Linked DNA regions of Mus musculus. The protein of the gene in region 1 binds, or shares a complex with, the protein of each later gene. Links are inferred from orthologs where the notes say so. Each region holds a gene or a part of one and is shown on either strand. Other genes may lie near its edges.

Region 1 (3,938 bases):
GGGGGCTCCTTTTTTTCTCTCAGACCTGTAACCCCTCCCCCTGAAAAGACATGTTTTATTTTCTCTTTGCTGTTAGCTACTAAGGATTTTCTCTCTCAGTTTAGAAAGCTTTAGTCCTTGTCAGCTTAGTTCACAAAAAAAGGTCTGTATTTCTTGGAAGGCAATAAACAAACAAACAAAAAACTATTGTTTTTTTTCTTTAATTTTTTTCTTAGTTTATATTTATTGTATGTAATGATGGATAAGATTCAAGCACATAATTTTCTTTTAACATGTGTGTGCCTCTTCCCCCAACATTAGCTTCACTCTTTTTCCCAGATAGTCATACTTTTATTTTCTTATCATCTATGTGTTAACTCATATATAAAGGCATTTCTACACACACACACACACACACACACACACACCCCTAGATCCACATATGAGGGAAACTTGTCTGAGTAAGGTTTACTTATGTGTATACAATCCCACAATCTTTGTCTTTTCCCCATGTGTGTGACTTTATGTGTATATGTAAAGCAGGCTCCACACTAGGAGAAAAACATACTTTTTTTTTTTTTTAAAGTCCGAGTCTGGTTTATTTTACTTCCTATGATGAGGATTCTCAACCCAGTCCACTAGCGATGTGCTCCGCGTTGGCTTCTGCACACCGTTCCCCTGGCCCGCCGCTTCGGGAAAGCGTAAGCCGCAATGGCACTTTGATTTTCCTACGTCCCGGGGCAGCCCCGGGGTCCGCAGCTCCACCTGGCTCGGCGGCCGGGCGCACAAAGAGCGGCGCGGGCGGCGACGGGCCGGGACGCAGAAAGTAGTCCCGACCACGCCGGCCCCAGTGTCGGCCGACGTCGCCTCACGCCCTCCGCCGCCCGGGGAAAGAATCCCATCGGAATGCGCCTCGGGAAGACCTTATCCCCGCAGCGTGCGGGGGCTCGCGAGGCTCAACCCGCGGGGGCTCTCCGGGGAGTCGGCGCGCGCGGCGGTCGCGGCTCCCGGGGTCCGGCCGCGGCGCGCTGAGGACGGGGGTGGGGGGAGTCGGGCGCGCAGGGAGACGGCGGCGGCCCCGCGGCGGATCCCTGCGCCGCTGCGAGAGGAAGAGGCTGAATGAGGCGCCGCGCGGGGGACGTGGGGCGCCGCGGGAGGAGGCGGCGGCATGGGGGCAGGCGCTGGCGTCGCGCGAGCCCGGGCCGGAGCGGCGCGCTAGAGCCCTGACGTGCGCCCTTTTCTTTCTTCTCGCGGCCGCGGAAAGCATGAGCGTGCAGACCCGCCGCTGCGGCGGCCGCCCCGGCTCCTCGCCCGCGCGTCCCCTGGCCGCCGGGCGCCGGTGAGGGCCGCGAGCGCGCGCGGTGGTGGGGGGAAGATGGGGGCCGTGCTGAGGAGCCTCCTGGCCTGCAGCTTCTGCGTGCTGCTGAGAGGTGAGGCGAAGCGAGGCGAGGCCGGGGGAAAAGTTGCCGGGGTCCCGGGAGGGGGAGGGGAGGTGGCGGGGACAGCGGCGGGGACAGAGGCCTGGCGCTGGGGAGCCGCGCGAGGAAGGGGCCCGCGGTCGGGGGCCGCGCCCGGCCGCCGCGCACACCCCTGGCCGGCCCCGCGGCGCCGCCGGACAAAGCTGCGGGCCTCGGGGGGACCCCTGGCCCCCCGCACTCCATCGGAATGACTGACGGTGCCCGGCTCGCCTGCACTCGGGGCAGAAAGGGGCTTTTGTAGTTGCGCTTTCAGCACCATTGGTGTTGACCTCCCTCTCCCTCGAAGCCTGAGCTCACCTTTCCCGTGTCTCTTAGGTGAACTTTTTTCTTCTTCTTTAAACCCCACTATTTTTTTTTTCCTTCTCCCCTCTCTAGGCCTTGTTACAACTAATAATTGTCTTCCGCGGGGATAGAATGGTCCTGGGTGAGAGCACAGTTGGAAATTGACTCTAGGGTGATAGGTCGCGCTTTTCAGCATTCGGGATCATCTGAGCCCATAATAAAAACACAAACGTTGCCCTCGTAACCCCTGGTATTCAGGACTCGCCCCCTGTTTGCGGAGTGTGCAAGTGTACAGTTGGCACCAAGTAGGGAAGTCATCCTTGTGTGGCGAGGAGCCTATCCTGGGAACTAAATTATCATTTGCTGGGCACCCCTGGGAACTGCTTGGCACTTTAGTAAATAACAGAGAATGCCCTGGGTAATTTGCTATGGGAATCGCTTAAACGTAGTGGCTCTGTGGTGTTTTGAATTTGGACTGTGAGGCTGAGACGTACGTCCTGACTTTTTGTTGTGTGACAGTTTGCAATGGAAACCTTGTCGACTGGTCTTCAGTTGATGAGCGATGGGGGCTGGTGCCATGGAGAGTGTTGCCTGTGCAAGAATTGAGGTGCTGTTTGACGCCGTATCTTGTTGTTCGCTTTTGTTAACTTACCTGTGCCAGTTAATGGGACCTCTCTGGGATTCTTAGTTATTAATTTAACAAGCTCAACGTTTAAGTCCGTCAGAAGTATGGAAGTTTGCAAAGTAGGATAGTAACTAACAATCTTATGATGTAAATGGGACAGCCTATCATCTATGCATGTGTGTATTTGAATAAGACTATTTGCCTTAAAACCCCCCCACCATTTTCTAAAAATAAGCGTATCCCGAATTGTCTAGTCCTTTTTGCAAATACCAGAAAGATAATTGCTGTTTTAATTTCCATGGCAGAGAACTCAATGTTATTACTCAAGAGATTTAATAATCAAGTGTTTATTTTGTTATAGTAAACTCTACATTGAAAGATTTTGCTGTAGCTGTGAGAAAGTTGTTATTAACATGTGAATATGATTGACAAGTTCATAAGAGTTAAAATGTAGAACTAGTGGATTGATTTAGAGTTGGGAAAGTCTAAATCTGTGACTTCTGATGGCTTTAGCGCCTGAAAGTCCAGCTGCCATTCTTAGAGGGGACATAGGACTGTTTGTTTATTTTGATAACAGGTTTGAGCCTAGAGTTGAGTAGATTCATGCATGAGTTTGGTTTAGAGATGGTGAAGCATGATATTGTGTGTAACAAGATCAAGAAGAGGTAACTGTCCGAAGTGGAGCTTATTTAAATGTAATACAATAATGCTAAGGAGGTCTTTGTTTTTCTGTTTAGCATTATTTAATTGTGAGCATATATCATTCCAACTGAAACTGTCTTTTTGGTGTAAACGATTCCTAATTTAAAGTTTCTTCACTTCTTGGCACTGTTAGCCTCTGTTATAAGTGACAGTCACCCTTGGTTTCCCAGGAGCAAAGTGTGATTTAATTACTTGTAGTTCCCAGAAGAGGTGGTACTTTTACTTTGGGTTTGTGATGATGTGTGACTTTGGGACTTTGTACCTTATAGCCTTGTTTACTCACCAGCAGTTGAAGGTCATTTAATACTGCCATCGCTAGGCTGCACCCTGTCCTAGTTACCAAGTGACAAAGAATATTGGGAAAAACTTGAAAGTTGAGGATTTTAGCACCATAGACTTGAGTTTAAAGCTAGATCTTCATTATTTCTGCTTCTGGTTCTCTCTGTCTCAGCTTATCTATAAAACATGGGTAATAATACCTGTCTGGCTGATTTGCAAGGGTTATTAGGTGTGTTTAATGAAGTAACATAGGAGTGCTTTCCAAATATTAATTAAAAAGTTTTAAAGACAGGATCTTTCTATGCTGCCCAGGCTGACCTCCAAGTGCAACTCAACTCTTCTCCTTTCCCAACCTCCTGAGTGTGGGGGTCACAGGCATGCCTCCCCATATATGGCTATAAATAGTGTTATTTTTATATGTGAAAATTTTTTTTTATTATTTATGGATGTGTCCTCAATTGTTGGTGATTAGAGATTTAATTTGTTTAAGATTCAAGAGTGCTTAAAGTAGATGATATTGTTGTCATTTGTAAGAAGTTGGGGCACAAAAAAAAAGTTGGGGCACTCTCTGTCAGCTAGTTCATTGTAGAGCA
Region 2 (4,291 bases), on another chromosome or scaffold:
AGGGGCTACAAAGGACATCTCAGCTCACCCTCTCCAACAAGGATTTCAGATCATTTCTTCCTTTTCAGTCTCATACAACAGTTGCTTGTGGTCTCAGATTTATCGATCTGTTCTTAAACATTATCCATTCACATTTCTTATCTTTTGTTATTTCATGACAACTGTCTCTTTTAGCACTGTGATGGTTGGATAAAAGACTGACTTTAATAAAAGTCATTATTACATACATTACCGCTAATTTATAAGCACGGCATTCTTATGTCCATGTTGTTTCTTATTTTACACACTGGGCGAAACCCCTTCAAATTCATTCTCTGATTTAGGTTCAGCACTTCTTTTCCAGGAGGTCCTCTGTTATCTCCCTAGAGGGTTATTCCTCCTGTCCTGTCCTGTCCTGGACGAGGTTTGATTTGGGATCAAAAGCAAGCCCTCTCCTGCTCAGCGATATGAAACACTAATGAGAAAGCCGGGAGCTAAGCCTTCGGGTTTCTTATCTTCTTCTATTAACCCACCGCTGGGAACAGGGAACCAGGGAAAGAGGACTGACCAGGCTCAGGGACCCTGTCCGCTCTGGCTCAGAGCCACTTTGATCTCATGTGTCTGCTTAATCAAGTTCATCTACTGCTGGGATTGACCAGATTCAAAGAACCACATTAAATAGTTTGATTATCGGGTGCCTATTTCCCTCTCCCCTCCATCCCTGATTTAATTTCCAAACGGCAGTCTCTCGCCTCCACCCCCAACCCCCCCAAACTCACCATCAAAAGCGAATTAGTTCTTCCCTTGGCATCCTCATTTGATGTGCAAATTTTCTTGTCTTTGCACATTTTTTTTTCTCCTGGTGTGTGTAGGGTTGGGTGGGGGGAGGGAGGGAGTGGGAAGTGGGGAAGCAACTAGACAAACTTAAAAGACAAGAACCTCATTTGCAAATCGCAACGCTAAAGGGTTAATCAGCAACTATAGGAGCCACCTGGGCTTTTCACAAAACCTTTGATGAATGGCTGCTCGCATTGTATTTAATACTGAATATTATTTGCGTGCGCAGAAAGCGAGGGTACTCATATGGGGAAGAGAAGAAACGTGGTTTTGTATATTCTATCACTTTTAACTCTGACAAGGATTTCAGACAGAACTAACCCAGCCCCACAGCAGAACACTCAAGCTCACAGAGTGCACCCTCCCGCCATTTATTTATTTATTTATTTATTTATTTATAAGTTTGGGCTAGGCTCTAATGCTCTAGTGCTCTAGTGACCCACACTCTAAGGTGAGCTGGACAAGGGGACCACAGTGCAAGGGAGGGGCGAGGGGAGAGTGTCAAAGTCCTCCCTGCTTCCGACACACAAACACTCCCCCTCCCAGCTCCTCCCAAAGCTTTGAAATCCCATCCCGGCTTTGTTGTCTTCCCTGAGGAGCTGGGAGGGCTGGGAGCCTGAGTATAAAGGCAGCCAGAGGTGGCGGTGGCGGTGCAGAGCTGTGCGCCTGGCAGCCAGAGACTCCACCAGCGGAGGTCCCGAAGTTGAGGTTCCGCAGTCCAGACTCTGCAGCCAGCCGCCGTGCAAAGTGACCTCTCTTTTCCTGACCTTTGCCTGTTTGCGTCCTTCGGAGATGATGGTTGTGTGTGCAGCGGCAGCTGTCCGGTTCTTGGCCGTGTTTACAATGATGGCTCTCTGCAGCCTCCCTCTGCTAGGAGCCAGTGCCACCTTGAACTCAGTTCTCATCAATTCCAACGCGATCAAGAACCTGCCCCCACCGCTGGGTGGTGCTGGGGGGCAGCCGGGCTCTGCTGTCAGTGTGGCGCCGGGAGTTCTCTATGAGGGCGGGAACAAGTACCAGACTCTTGACAACTACCAGGTAAGAGGGGTGCTGTGATCCCGACGGGGGTCTCAGAAAGATCTAGGTGTGTGAGATTTGGGGTGTGTTTGGAATCACTGCATTAAGAGCAGCGCGCTTAAGGGGCTTTTGAAGAGGCAGATGGGGACCTTGAAGGTGTGGGTACCAGGATGCTTGAGTTGCTCACCAGTCCGCTCCCTTCCCACAGCCCTACCCTTGCGCTGAAGATGAGGAGTGCGGCTCTGACGAGTACTGCTCCAGCCCCAGCCGCGGGGCAGCCGGCGTCGGAGGTGTACAGATCTGTCTGGCTTGCCGAAAGCGCAGGAAGCGCTGCATGAGGCACGCTATGTGCTGCCCCGGGAACTACTGCAAAAATGGTGAGTCTTGGACTCCTTTTTAAATTAGAACCACCTTGCCTTTGAGGACCCAGGAATCAAATGAAATGCTCTGGTTCTGTCAAAGCTAAGGTGGCGCCACCTGCAAACGCGTGCTCATGCAAGGGTTCTCCTGACACATCGTCACTGGCTTGTGTTTGAGCACTTGAAAGTTTATCTTTCCTTGCCTCCCTCTGTGATCTAACAACAAGACCTGAAAGTGGACCCTTCCATCAAACAATTATCTTCAGGGAGCCTTGGGGCACTTGAGAAAGGGGGAGAGGTCGTTCTGAAAGGGGAGCCAGACGTTTTTTTCTTAAGGTGGACTCTGCGTGGCTTTGCCAGTCTCTCTTTCCTCTAAGGCTATTACAACTGTTGTCAACGGGGAGCTAGAATGATTAATCTCTGCTGGCCAGCTTTTAAAAGAGATCTCTGTACCGCTTACACCCCTAGCTCTCCATCCCTTCTCCCCTTTCCCTCCACCCTCAACTACCTTCAAAGAAGTACTGCCCCCACACACACACACACACAACCACAGATCCACAAAATGTTAATGTCTCAAAGAAGTCTCCAGAAATAAACTTGAGGGGTGGCTAACTTCCTAGGTTACAGCAGCATTCCAGAGTCAACTCACTAAAATCTCCGTAATATCAAAATTATACAGTAAAGTAACTAGCGGGTGAGATCGCAGTCTTCCAGGCAGCCGGAACTGCATTGCGCAGCTAGCACCCAGAGCAGAGAAGTTATTTTTTAAGATTAATTTCTTTTAAGTGACTGGATTTCTTTTTCCTAGCCCAAAGGGTAATATTAAAATAGACAGAAAAGTCTCTACTGCCTCCACTACAATTAGTAGGAAAGCATTTAAAATGGCTATACCTGAGGCGTTCCATACGATTCGACAGTACACTCATTGATACTGCTTTCTCTGGGGAGTTTTGGTAAATAGAAAGGCAGCAACAGCAGTGAGGTAACTCACAGTGGTGTCTGTATAACCCACTGCTCCTGTCTTGGCTATTAGCAGCAACAAACTACAGCCTGAGGATTAATCACTATTTCTGGTTTTCTTAGGAATATGCATGCCCTCTGACCACAGCCATTTTCCTCGAGGGGAAATTGAGGAAAGCATCATTGAAAACCTTGGTAATGACCACAACGCCGCCGCGGGGGATGGATATCCCAGAAGAACCACACTGACTTCAAAAATATATCACACCAAAGGTAGTAAAGGGGCTTTCAGGCTCAGCCTTTCCCATTTAATATATCAGAAGTGCATTTAGAATTGTCTCAGTGGGATGGTACAGGCCTCGCAGTAACTGTAATTTTCCTTCTGTCTCCTTCACAGGACAAGAAGGCTCCGTCTGCCTCCGATCATCAGACTGTGCCGCAGGGCTGTGTTGTGCAAGACACTTCTGGTCCAAGATCTGTAAACCTGTCCTTAAAGAAGGTCAGGTGTGCACCAAGCACAAACGGAAAGGCTCCCACGGGCTGGAGATATTCCAGCGCTGTTACTGCGGGGAAGGCCTGGCTTGCAGGATACAGAAAGATCACCATCAAGCCAGCAATTCTTCTAGGCTCCACACCTGCCAGAGACACTAAACCGACAGTCTAAATATGATGGACTCTTTTTATCTAATATATGCTACGAAAATCCTTTATGATTTGTCAGCTCAATCCCAAGGATGTAGGAATCTTCAGTGTGTAATTAAGCATTCCGACAATACCTTCCAAAAGCTCTGGAGTGTAAGGACTTTGTTTCTTGATGGAACTCCCCTGTGATTGCAGTAAATTACTGTGTTGTAAATCCTCAGTGTGGCACTTACCTGTAAATGCAGCAAAACTTTTAATTATTTTTCTAGAGGTGTGCTACATTGCCTTGTTTCTCTTGCATGTAAATTTTTTTTGTACACGGTTGATTGTCTTGACTCATAAATATTCTATATTGAAGTAATTTTGGTTTACAGTTCTTAAATGTGTAACCCTTTCTGCTTCAATGTCTAGGGGGTCGAATGTAAGGAGAAATGGAATAGTCGGTGATAGGCATCTAAAATTTAACATGAAAGTATCAGTTTATTTCCTGAGATGTG

What was found.
Region 2: the proteins of Lrp6 (region 1) and Dkk1 are in contact, whole or in part, in a crystal structure (PDB 3S8V), measured with the Homo sapiens proteins. The link is inferred for Mus musculus from reciprocal best matches to the Homo sapiens genes LRP6 and DKK1. Residues at the interface, in NP_001401174.1 of Homo sapiens: Arg639, Glu663, Ser665, Ile681, Tyr706, Glu708, Thr724, Arg751, Trp767, Gly768, Gly769, Pro771, Val790, Gly791, Arg792, Asp811, Thr812, Asn813, Leu814, Pro833, His834, Phe836, Trp850, Ser851, Tyr875, Met877, Arg1184; in NP_036374.1 of Homo sapiens: Glu185, His204, Phe205, Trp206, Ile209, Gln218, Val219, Thr221, Arg224, Arg225, Ser228, Gly230, Leu231, Glu232, Ile233, Phe234, Arg236, Ser258, Leu260.

What each region holds. Positions count from the first base shown.
Region 1 is NC_000072.6:134,564,114-134,568,051, reverse strand, and holds the start of Lrp6 (low-density lipoprotein receptor-related protein 6 precursor), read left to right. Parts: upstream 1-1,138; 5' UTR 1,139-1,354; coding exon 1,355-1,409; intron 1,410-3,938. UniProt on the Homo sapiens protein: Component of the Wnt-Fzd-LRP5-LRP6 complex that triggers beta-catenin signaling through inducing aggregation of receptor-ligand complexes into ribosome-sized signalosomes.
Region 2 is NC_000085.6:30,546,697-30,550,987, reverse strand, and holds the start of Dkk1 (dickkopf-related protein 1 precursor), read left to right. Parts: upstream 1-1,491; 5' UTR 1,492-1,608; coding exon 1,609-1,854; intron 1,855-2,041; coding exon 2,042-2,210; intron 2,211-3,275; coding exon 3,276-3,425; intron 3,426-3,549; coding exon 3,550-3,803; 3' UTR 3,804-4,291. UniProt on the Homo sapiens protein: Antagonizes canonical Wnt signaling by inhibiting LRP5/6 interaction with Wnt and by forming a ternary complex with the transmembrane protein KREMEN that promotes internalization of LRP5/6.